2 linked regions of the Coturnix japonica genome follow. The protein of the gene in region 1 purifies or fractionates together with the protein of each later gene. This does not show direct contact. Links are inferred from orthologs where the notes say so. Each region holds a gene or a part of one and is shown on either strand. Other genes may lie near its edges.

Region 1 (5,605 bases):
TGACGGGCTGACACCTCATCCATAACTCCTACTGTTGTGACAAAGAGTGGAGCAGATGGTTCTATTTAAGGACACTTCAGCATCAACATCACGTTTCTTGGCTCGCTGTTGGCATCCAGGTGCTGTTTCCCTGCTGACCCCTGGCTATGAGGGGCAATGCTGGAATAGAGAGGTGTAGGGGGGGGGGACATCAGTGCATCCTTGCATTGCTGCATCTCTGCTGAGCCTCAGGCTCCCTTTCAGGAGCTGATGGGGGAAGGCTCAGCTGGGGGGAGAAATGAAGCAGGAGCCGCCCTGATGCTGTGGAGCTGAACCCATTTCCTAGGCCAGTATCATAGCATCATCTCACTGCTGTACGAGGTCCTGCTTAGCCAGAGCTCAGTGGATGCTCTACAGCATAGTGGAGCCGCATAGCGGCACCTGCTGGCTCGGTGGGTATGGAAACGGGGATAGGGGAGGGGAAAAGATTGGGAAATCAATGGGGAAAAGCATTGGGAACCACAAGAGATACTCATTGTGGCAGTATATGGGGACGGGGCATAGCTTTGGGGTCACACTGCCTCTTTGCCCTCTTCTTATTGCTAATGTACTTATGCTTATGGGGTAGAGTGTGTCAGATTGGGGTGGTAGAGGGGGACAGCAAGGGGGTTGCTCACCAATGCATACGCCACAGCATCATCCTGAGAAGCAGCACAGAGTGAAGAGTCCAGCCATGGTTGCCTAGGGGGAAAACGGGCAATACAAGGCCATGAGATCACCTGCATCTTAATTCACACCAAGTTGCTCTGAGTGTTTGATAGAATCCACTGCAGAGCACATGAGGCATCCCACTGGCTCTGGGGTACCCTAAGGGCACATTGCGGAGCCTCTACAGCACCCAAGGAATGCTGAGATAGGCAGGGATTACACTAGGATGCCCTAAAGGCAGCCCTCAGTGCCCCCAGATCTCTCCTGAAGATGGGAATAATCCAATACCACCTGCAAGAGGTGCCAGGCACCATGCCAGGCAATGGGGGTCCCCCAAACCCCACACTGATGGGGTCTCTGCAGGGGTATAACTCCAAGGTTGGATGAGGCCAGGGCTCCCAGCTAAGCTCAGCCTCACTCTATAATGAATACACTCAGCATCCAGCAACCCTAGAGGAGGATTTATGGCACAGTGCCTTCCTTATTGCTCACATCCATCCTGCTGGGACAGGGCAGCCCAGTGCCAGGATAATTGGGGGGGATCTGTTCCATGAGGAGCTGCCAGAGTCTGGGCACACAGGAGTTAAAGCTGAGCAGGAGAAATCAGAAGAGAATAGGCCTGTAAATGTAAAGTGCCTTTTATTATTATTATTTTTTTTCCATGATGAAAATATTTAGTTAGAAAATAAAACAAAATGCTCAAAAAGCCACAAATAAACCCTGACACTTTATGAATTGCCCACCTCCCCACCTGGAACCTAAGAGGCAAAAAAACAACAGTAACTGCCCAGTGCATTTTGCTGCCAGCCCCCCTACCCCAGCCAGGCAATGGGGATGGGGCTGTGAATGGGGTTAAGAAGGCAACATATTTCCTTCTGAAGGGTGATAATACCAGGCCTGCCCCTTTAGGAGATGAGGCTTTAAGGCATAATCAGCCCTGAGGGGATGGGGGTGAATGTATGGTGATGGTTCATCCCTGACATCAACAGAGCCCTCATCCTTCCTGAGGCAGGAGGACACGCAGCAGCCCAGGTGTAGGGTAAAGAGCGTAGAGGGCACAAGGGAGCCTTTAAAAACCTTAAAACTTTAGGACAGAGCATGAGAAGGCTGAACCCCCCCAGCAAGACTCAGCCCCTCCATGGTCCCAACTGCCACCAAACCCACATAGTGCCAGACCTTGGCTTGGGAAGGTGGGGGGCAGCTGGAGGGGGGAAAGCCTGCAGTCCAGAGGGGTCTTCAGGATTGCTCTGCCTGAGGCACAGCAAACCCAGGGATGGATCCTGCCCAAGGCACCAAACCCTGCTGCCTGCACTGCAAGGGGCTGAGCAGGGTGTTGTGAAGCAGGAGGGACAGCAGAGCCCAACTTTCCCATCTGAGCCAGCAGCTCAGCCTGCACTCAGAAGCTCGAGACAATTCATCAGTGCACCAGAACAGGCTGTAAAACAACCCAATTAACAACAGAAGTCAAACCACAAGTGCCTCCTCCCTCTTACCCACAGAGAGTCCAGCACCCAGCTCAGCCCTAAGCAATGCCACAGCCTTATGGCACAGCACCTGCCATGGCTGGAGATACTGTGAGGTGTCTCCCCTCTCCATGCTCTAAGCCCAGGAGCAGACAAAGCCCCCTCCCCACAGCCCCCTGCCCATCCCCTGCCACCAGCTCACACACACACACACATACACCAGTGCACACGTCTTATTTTCTTTTAAACCCAAGTGAACATGTTTCCAAAAAGAAAACCAAAAAAAAAAAAGAGAAAAAAAAAATATAACATAAGCAGCACATTTCCCAAGTGTCAAAGAGCTCCAAAGCTGGAGCAGAGGCCCAGGACACCCCCCAGACCAACAGAAACTAAACCCATGTTTGCATGGGGATGAGGGAAAGGAGGTGGGGGGGGGGGGAGGCAGCTGATTAACATTTCCAAGTGATGGTGCTTTGCTGGTGGGATGCGAGAAGGGGCAGGGGAGAAGGAAGAAGGGCAGTTCTGTTGTGTACTGAAGGGCAGGAAACAGTGGCAGAGGCAGATGTACTGACACCAGGCTTGGCCATCACACGGCAGCACGGGTGGGTGTGCTGGGCTGGTTTAACCTCAGTGTTTTGCAGAGCCAGCCGGCGAAATCCACCTCCTCCACTTCAGAGCGTTTGATGAAGGTGTGATTCTGCAAGGGAAGCAAAGCAAGGTTAGGAAGGCACACTGTTAGCGTGCAACTATGTGCTCCCCACAGCAATGATTTCCACCTCCAGCAGAACACCACAATCCCTGGCCTCTTTCTCAGAGCTTTTTTGGGTGGGGGGCCTTACGCTGTTGGCTGGACCCCAGCAAAGCCAATGGATCCAAGGCCACAGCTTGGGCTGCTTTCAGGCCCAGACAGTAGATCTGGAGAGTAGTCCCTAAATATTTGCTACTTACAGCCCTATGGCTGGGTTTTAAAGTCAGTGCATCTCTTGCCTGGTCATGAAACTCAGGGCATGCAGGAGAGCTGAAGTGCAAAGCCTACGTGCTGCATCCCCAGAGCAACCCCTAAGTGCTATGGTGGAGACAGGACCAGGCTGGTATAGGTTCAGAACTACAGATCCTGAGCTCAGCCCAGTCCCAGCAAACCCTAATCCCCCCTCCAACCAAGGAGAGGGGCAGAGCAGGGTGACCACAAAACAAGGACAAGGAGCAGGGACATAAGGATGTGGGCTACTGCTTTTGCAAGGGGCAGCAGGGGGCAGGCTGAGGAAGAAAAGGTTCATGGGGATAAGCTGAGCTCTTCTACACTGCTCAAGAGGCAAAGGTTTGTCCCAGGCACCTTCGCAGACATGGAGAGGTGCTGGAGCCATCAGGTTTTCCATACTGGGCTCTGCTGGGGAGGGACAGCAGGCTCTCAGGGGTTAGATGACATCACTGCCTTTGAGACAAAGGTAAGTGAGTCAACTCCATCTCCCAGGCTGGATTTGGTTCTCAGGCACAGCCAGGGGAGTTTCCAGCCTTTAGAGCTGGAAGGGATGGGATGAGGCAGCAGCTTGCAGATCTGGTGCCACCCAGTGTAGAAAGAAGATTGTTCTTCCCATTTACCATCAGCATCTTCAAATCTGCCCGTTCCGCTGGATTCTTAATTAAGCTGAAATGAGAAGAACAAGAGAGCAAAAGCAGCACTGAGACACTTCTTGTAAGAAACTGCTTATCTGTCTGGAGAGGACTCCAGCTTCACTAAAGCCACGTTGCCTCCTGCCTGCCTTCCCCACACCAGCAGCATGAACGATGCTTAGATAGCATTGTCTGCAGCTCCAGCACCCTGGATTCCAGGCAGAGCTGCAAGATCCACTACTTCTGGATTGCACAGACAAACTTCGTAACCATTTGAAGAGATGAATGGTTTTCTAACAGCCAGTCTCTTTTAATGGAGATGGCAGCAGCATCCCCAGGCTCAGAGGGTCTTGAAGTCAGTGGTGTTTGCAGGGTGCCTGGAAGATTGTGGGGTGAGCTATAGGGGTTAACTACAAATAAACCACTTTTATTCCAGCCCTTCCCAAGGCAGAAGTTCCCAGCATAGTGCAGGACCTTGCTGCAGCCAAGCCAGTTTCAGTCACAAACAGAAACACAGACTGTGTTTCAGTCACAAACAGAAAATCCTTACCATTTATTTACAAACTCCTGGAAATCTTGTGTGAAAACTCCATTTGGCAACTTGGGAGGTGGCTGCAGGGAGAGGAGAAAGTGTTAATGGGTCAAAACATACATGTCTTAAAGCACAGCTTTCAGTTAAGGTTTGTCCAAAGCCACGTCCCTCCAAGCTGCTCCTTTCCCATTCAATCAGTGGCCAACAGGATTTTGATGCAGTTTGGAGGGGCCCTATTGATAAGCCCCTGTCAAGCAAAGGTTTTTGAGCCTATTCTTGACCTGGCAGTGCGGACACAACACCAACCCAGAGGAGCAGAACCTACAGTAGTGCAATGCTCACCTCATTAACTATATAGTCCAGCAGTTCAAAGATGGCCATTGCAGGTCGGCTGTCCATTCCATGGCCTGTGTGGTTAAGATGAAAGAAATACTGGTGAGAAGAGACACCAAAGGGCTTCATTTCAAGCAAAGAAAACCCACATTGTGGGACTTCTGGTGGGAGAAGCAGAGGGCACCAAGTTGGGAATGAACCCACGGTTAAAAATATCCCCCAAATCACCTCCTAAGCTCCCCATATAAGACCACAACTCCACAGGCTCTCAGTATTAGAAACCTCCATAGCAGAGCTGGATTCTCCTATAGCACAGACATAGCTCTGCCTGCAGGAAAGAGTGAGTTGAGAACCCTCCCTCCCCACAACCTCATCCACAACAGCTTTTGCTAACCCAGCCACACCAACAGAACCCATCCCCATGCCCCTACACCTGCATGTTGTATCCAATACATACAACAGCCCCTTACCACTAATGGGGCGTCCTGGAGGCCTGGCCCTTGGTGAGACGCTGTGAGACTCTCCCTCTGCCCCATCCACCACAGGACGGCCAAATATTGCTTCCAGTTCCTTGGAGTCTGGTGGGGGTATTGGGTACCTTCCAATAGAAAGCTCCACCAATGACAGACCCATACTCCAGATGTCAGACTGGACTGAGTAATGAGTGCCCTGCAACCGTTCAGGCTGGAAGGAAAGAGAACAAGACAACACAGTGGTAAGAAACCTAAAGCATCTTCTCTATGAGCAGGTGTCCTCCAAGCAGCTAGCACTCCTGATACCTGCAAAGGAAGCACTTCTATGGGGTGTGGGAGCTTCCAAGTCACATCAAACACAAAGCACTTGCACACATCTAACCAACAGATAGATAGAGCTGAGCAGCCTTTGCAGTTGCTTATACTCTGGATTTCTGAGCGAGCTGAGATCTCAGTTTTGTTGCAGGAAAGATTAAGCAGTTTTCTTTTTCCTGTTTATTCCTGTT
Region 2 (6,014 bases), on another chromosome or scaffold:
ATTCACCCGCATCCTTGTCAAAACATCACACCCATGTCTTCTGTAGTAGGTGAGGGAAATGCAGCCTAGCTGAATCCTGAATCTGACAGAAGACAGGCAAGGCTCAGGTCTGCATCATATCTCATTTAGAAAGTTCCTGTGATACTCCTTAGGCCTTCTCCCCTTACCCAAAGGCATAGATATCTGCAGCTTTGGAGAAAGGCAGCTTGTCTTCATCTTTCCCAGGGGCCATCTCACGAACGATTTCAGGGGCCAGGTAGCATAACCAGTCATGAGGAAGCTTCAATTCATTCTCCCTCCTGAGTTCAAAGGAAAGAAGTCATATTGAAATGCAATATTAAGTAAACTAAGAAACAGCATATGGCCCGTATCTGTGGTTTGCCTAATGCTGTGACTTTTCTTACATGTTTTGGCTTGGCTAACATTCTCTTTCTAAATTTTGTGCCATATTAAAAAACATATGCAAGTGTTGGCCTGACTCTCCAGCTCATTCTTGGGCTTAAAATCGTTTTGTTCTGTGTTCCGAGACTCAAATCACATATTACTTTCTAGCTTTGTGCCGCTGGAAGTGCAGAAAGGCCTTTCAAGAAAAGAATTGTATTCCAGACTATACATAGGAAAAGACTCAATCTCCTCTCTTGCACCATGTAATGCATCAAAGTATGTCCCTGTTAGATCGTTTTTAATCACCCCAGAAATGGACCAAGCACTGAAACCTCCACCTACCTTCCTTCCTGAACCACACCCGAAATTCCAAATAGTCCAAAGTCAGTGATCACTACTTTCCCATTGTCATAAAAAACATTCTTGGATTTCAGATCCTTGTGTACAATCCCCTTCGCATGAAGATAGCCCATGCCCTGGAAAAAAAGTTTATGTGCAGAGATGTAAATGTTGTCATGTTTACAAGCCTCTAACTGGGCATGCTTCTCTTTCTAATACATGTTTATTTACTCCAACACAATACATTAAGTGGGGACACAACAGCTTCCTCCTCTGTACAGGAGGGTTGCTGGGAAGGTACTTCTAATTGAAGCAGTAAGTGATGGTGAACTTCACAACTCTGAATAAGTGTGTAGGTGTGTGAACAAGGAACAGCTGACACAAACTTGCTCGCTGAATTCCTAGGACACTTCTACCAGCAAAGAAAACAACAGCTTAAGAAATGCTACTTCAGTTGATCAATACTGAAAATAGCCATGGAAACTGCAAATCTGGAAGATCATGTCTACTTCAGAATGCTTTAATGTAGCTGTAGTTACCAATAAAAGAGACTGGGAAGGAAACGTGCCCTGCGTGCATTTCGTCATGGTTGCCTTTTATCAAAATTCTCCCTCCCCAACCCCATATAAGCAAAAGATCAATTTCTATCCCTACAGGTTTTCAGCTTACAGCCCACTGAATTAGCAGTTTTCCTTCCTCCATTTTCAATTTTTCCCTGCTGCAGCACCCTGTGGATGGCTGTTGAACTTACAGATCAGCTGTGCAGCCTCTCAGCACTTGCTGAGGAATTGCCCAGAAAGCAGATATCTCTGATAACACAACGTATGCTTACCTTAATGATCTCCTGTGCTATCTGCCTGGTTTTGTTAATATCCAGGGATATCTTGGGGTCCCTTACAAATGAATACAGTGTCCTTCCTTTGCAGAAGCTGTAAAAAAGAGGAACAAGAGTCCTAAAAAGTTTCTTTAAAACATTGGAGGAATGTAAAGACCAGTGGATGCTCAAAAGGTACTTTTATCATGTTGATGGAATCAGTCTTCTTCCCTCTGCTGAGCAATGCCATTTTCAGTAACACAAATGGCTCAGTTGACACCTGTGTGAGTGTACACAATTGCAGCTACTGATAACTGTCATTCAGTTATTGCTAAAGCGTAGTCAAGCAAACACTTATTTGTTTCCTCAGTGGCCCTGATCTCATTTTGCTCTTCAGACAAATAAGTCCAGTTTTCATAACCTGAGCACCAGCTTCTGCTGAGACTGCAGATTACTTTGTCCCGCTTCTAAAGAATTCAAGAGACTTTAAGAGATTAAAAAATAAGAATTAGATTGCCAATAAATAAACTCCCTAAGAAGAGACATCTCTAATATCAAAACTCCAAGCAACAGAGGCTGCTTTGATGTCTTCCACTTTCAGACTACAGAAATAAATATTACAAATTTATTTATAATACACACATATATCATGCATGTGCATTAAATATTTGTTATGGAAATATATAATTTACAAATATGTTTATAGAAATTTATTCTATATATATATATTCTATACAGAATACTGTATTATTATATCTATTCTATAAATAGATAAGCACATGCAGTATTACTAACAGAAGTTGTTATATCCTTACCTGGTAATGATTGCTAAATGAGGAGGGTTCATGCATGCTCCCATGAAAAGCACCACGTTCTCATGCCGGGTCTGTCTGTAATTCATCACTTCCTTTTTAAAGAGCTTGAGATGATCCTGATTGTTCCCATCTATCTCCAGCAGCCTTATGGCCACTTCCCCGTGCCATTTTCCCTTGTGAACCTTCCCCCATCGTCCTTGGCCAATGGGATCCCCCAGTTCGATCTGTTCAAAGGGAATGTCCCATTCCTGCAGGTAGACACTGGTCTGGCTGGGTTTGCGATAAATCATCCCTTGCAGGTGTGGCCTTCTGTTTGGCAAATCTTCCACTTCATCCTCATCATCTTCAGGTTCTGATTTATTACTCTCAGGTTCTTCCACCTGCTTACAGAAGGAGAACGGAAAAACATGCTGAGAGTCTGTTTTGAGAGGACTTGGGCAGGTTGATGAACCTATTTGATGACAGATCTAGAGATCCCTTCATAGGACAAAGTCATCCAAGAAAGCTACGAAAAGGCACACACCTCCTCTTGGGATGTGGCTCAAGAGCCACTTGAGAAACAGCTGCAGGCAACTGAGTGAGCCAAAGATTTGAGCTCACCTTCTCCCAATTAGAAACAGTTACTTTTTGTTACAAGTATTTCATTGCTTCAGCCTGGCAACAGAAACATCCAATTGTCAGTAGATCTGTGCAGCATAGACAGCCCAGTGGAACTGAAGGCACAGCAAGTCTACATTCACAGCTTCAGCCACAAGCTTCTGCTGCATTGCAACATGGCCTTTGGGATTACAAAAGAGATATAAAAGGGGAGACCATAAAACCTACCTCTGCTTCATGTTTAAGTCCATCTGTATTTGGCTGTTCTTTAGCACTAACAAGAGAAAACAGATTTGTAGTAAGAAATAAATGGGGTGCAGACAGTGAAAGCAGTATAGTCAATTAGATCAAAGTACAATCACTGCTCTAAGTCTAACAACTAAGGACTTTCTAAGATTACTTTGGCAAATAAGGGACAAAGATTTTGAAGTGATTCTTGGTGTTTAAGTGGTAGGAATTCATTGGCAGTGGTATGGCTGCATTATTACAATGTGTTCCAGTAACAGATACTCCTATTCCCAGTACTACAGAAACACCTGTACAGAGTATTGGTCAAGCAATTGTGAGTGCTGGGGTTGTAGGTTAAAACATCAGCACACCCTGCAATTCAGATCCCTACAAACATGTGAGCTTGCCATGCTCTTCCGTGCTGCTTCAATCACAAAACCTTCTACCTTTTATTCCTTTTCACCTTCCTGAGCTGGGAACATGCTCACAGAACCATAACTACATATTTGAAAACACGGTCCCACTTAAAATAAATATTTTCAGCTTTGCAAAACCAGAAATGCCAACATCGCTCTTGCTGATCGAAATTGTCCTGTAGAAGTTTTCAGATGATACATTCAACAGGCCATTGGTTTCAGTTATAACAGTGCCTTTGTGCTGACCTGAAGATTATCAGGTTAACACAACATGATTAAAACAAGCAGTTCTTACTTACTTGGTGTCTGCAGCAGTTTCTGGAGGCTGTGCTATTTGTGCAGGACTGGGAATTTCTGGGAAGTATGAAAATTATTACACATATTTTAGACTCAATTCCCTTATAGATCAGAATATTCAATATTGCAGTACCAGCTGTTTTACACACCTATATATCAACCCATTCCAGCTTTCTTAACATTCACTTATTTGTAATGTTTTGCAATGGCCGTCCTCATTTCTGAGCTGCTCACACCCTTTTAAATGGCCTTCAGCAATCAGAAATACTTGAATCCAGATGCAAGGATTAATAATTGTAGGTCACACATTCCAACCACACTTAGTATGATCAGTGTCACCAGTGCACAGGAAATTCAGTTTCGGTTGCAAATCCTTGCAAAATTTAGAGTGCAATACTCTGTACCTGGCATCCTACATCACCAGTTCTCTCTTTGGAAATAGATGGACAGTTTCTGAAGGTTAATGAAAAGTGACCAAGAAAAGAGCTTGCACATATGAATAATGTTGCACCATTTTCAATCCCATAGGCAAGAACATCAATTCATAAATATGATCTCAGCATTCCTGAACTGCCAGCATCCATTATTCCAAGCATATAATCCCAAAAGACAGCCTTAACAAAAGAACTCAGCCGTGAGTAGAATCGCACAGCAGAAATCTGGTGCTTTATCTGTTGTACTGGATATACTTCTTTTCAAAAGCAGAATTATCGCTCTTGGGTAAGCATGCAAAAATTTACAGTTACTTTCTGGCAGCAAAAGCTTAGTTAGTTGAATTAAAACAGTCAACTCACCTGGGAAGATAAACTGTTGTCTATGCTGAATATAGTAGGCAGCTTTTGTTTGGTTAAAAAAAAAAAAGACATAAAAAGAAAACAAAAAAAAAAACAACAAAACAAACAAACAAGTTAGAGGATCATCAGTAAGTGCCACATATGCATTCAATTAGTCCCAACTCACTGTTAGGAAGCAGATTAGTTGATTATCAGTCTGCTTGAGGGGTGAATTTCAGTACATGCATTTCTGGAAGACAGATGACACCTGTCACATGAATGCTGTGTTAATGCAAGCAGTCTGGTGGGAAAACCAGCCGTTCATATGTCAAGTGGAAGAAGCAGACTCAGAGAACCCAGGGATGCCAGCAGGCAGGCCCAGGAAAAGGCTGATCCTTCAATGCTCTCTCACACTGTCAGCGTTTCCAAGCTGCATGCAGAGAGGCTGAAGCTCAAGAGCTCTTTGCAAGTTGTTTTGTTTGTTTTAATTTCACTTAAATTGAATTACTTGTCCTCATACAAAGTAACTGCAGTAGAATCCCTGCACTAAACTTGCACTGCTTCTGCTCCTTTTAAGTAGGCTAAAACAGCAACTTTCACAGGCGAGAAATCTTTTGCAAAACAGTAGTATTTAAGGCCAGATGCAGCACCTGTTTAGCAGCATGTGACTTCATTTCCAGATAGAAGAAATTAAGTTTATTCTACTATGCAAGCCTTGTCTCTATCAGCTTTGTTAAGGACAGCATATTTGGGTCCTTAATCCAGGAAGTATGTAAATTCTTCACCATACACACCTGTCTACACTTTAAAAGCCAAGTGTTCATTGTTGGTTATCTTTTGGAAGGGACTAGTAGAACTAATTTATGTCAGTCTCCATTTTAATACTTTCTTTCTAGCAATGACCTTACGTTTCAAAGCCACCAGTGAGCAAACACAGCGGGCAGCACGAATTTCATGATACAGTAAGAAAAAGGAAACAAGCAACACCACTTTCTTCTAGTACTCATCAGAAAAGGAAAATAAATAAATAAATAAATAGAATAAAGTAGAAAGATCATATTGGGTAAAAAAGGAACCAGAACTCCTCAGTAATTTGTTTCCTGCAAAAGTATCTTGTTCCTTTGGCTTAAAACCTTCTAAGAACAGACTGTGTCCCCTTTATCAGATGACAGGAAAAACTTTCAAACCTTGAGTAAGACTCAACTATCTATTCAGAAACCTAAAACTACTTATGAAGTCTTGGTTAGCCCCAGCTTCCACAGATGCCTTTCTGATCTTGGCAGAGCCCTCCAGAAAAAGATGGGTTTACCTGGGAAGTTAAATCGTGCATCCCTCTGGCCCATAGGAGATA

The links. Proteins that work in one complex are often made in the same cells at the same time.
Region 2: the proteins of MAP2K2 (region 1) and KSR1 purify together in Homo sapiens (affinity purification with mass spectrometry; 4 studies listed by BioGRID and IntAct, with this or other methods). This does not show direct contact. The link is inferred for Coturnix japonica from reciprocal best matches to the Homo sapiens genes MAP2K2 and KSR1.

What each region holds. Positions count from the first base shown.
Region 1 is NC_029543.1:1,725,825-1,731,429, reverse strand, and holds the end of MAP2K2 (dual specificity mitogen-activated protein kinase kinase 2), read right to left. Parts: intron 5,311-5,605; coding exon 5,097-5,310; intron 4,701-5,096; coding exon 4,636-4,700; intron 4,374-4,635; coding exon 4,312-4,373; intron 3,796-4,311; coding exon 3,750-3,795; coding exon of another isoform or gene 3,636-3,749; exon of another isoform or gene 3,484-3,635; intron 2,848-3,483; coding exon 2,737-2,847; 3' UTR 2,366-2,736; downstream 1-2,365. UniProt on the Homo sapiens protein: Catalyzes the concomitant phosphorylation of a threonine and a tyrosine residue in a Thr-Glu-Tyr sequence located in MAP kinases. Activates the ERK1 and ERK2 MAP kinases.
Region 2 is NC_029534.1:7,917,934-7,923,947, reverse strand, and holds part of KSR1 (kinase suppressor of Ras 1), read right to left. Parts: coding exon 5,973-6,014; intron 4,727-5,972; coding exon 4,685-4,726; intron 3,948-4,684; coding exon 3,893-3,947; intron 3,224-3,892; coding exon 3,178-3,223; intron 2,736-3,177; coding exon 2,353-2,735; intron 1,653-2,352; coding exon 1,556-1,652; intron 861-1,555; coding exon 727-860; intron 300-726; coding exon 168-299; intron 1-167.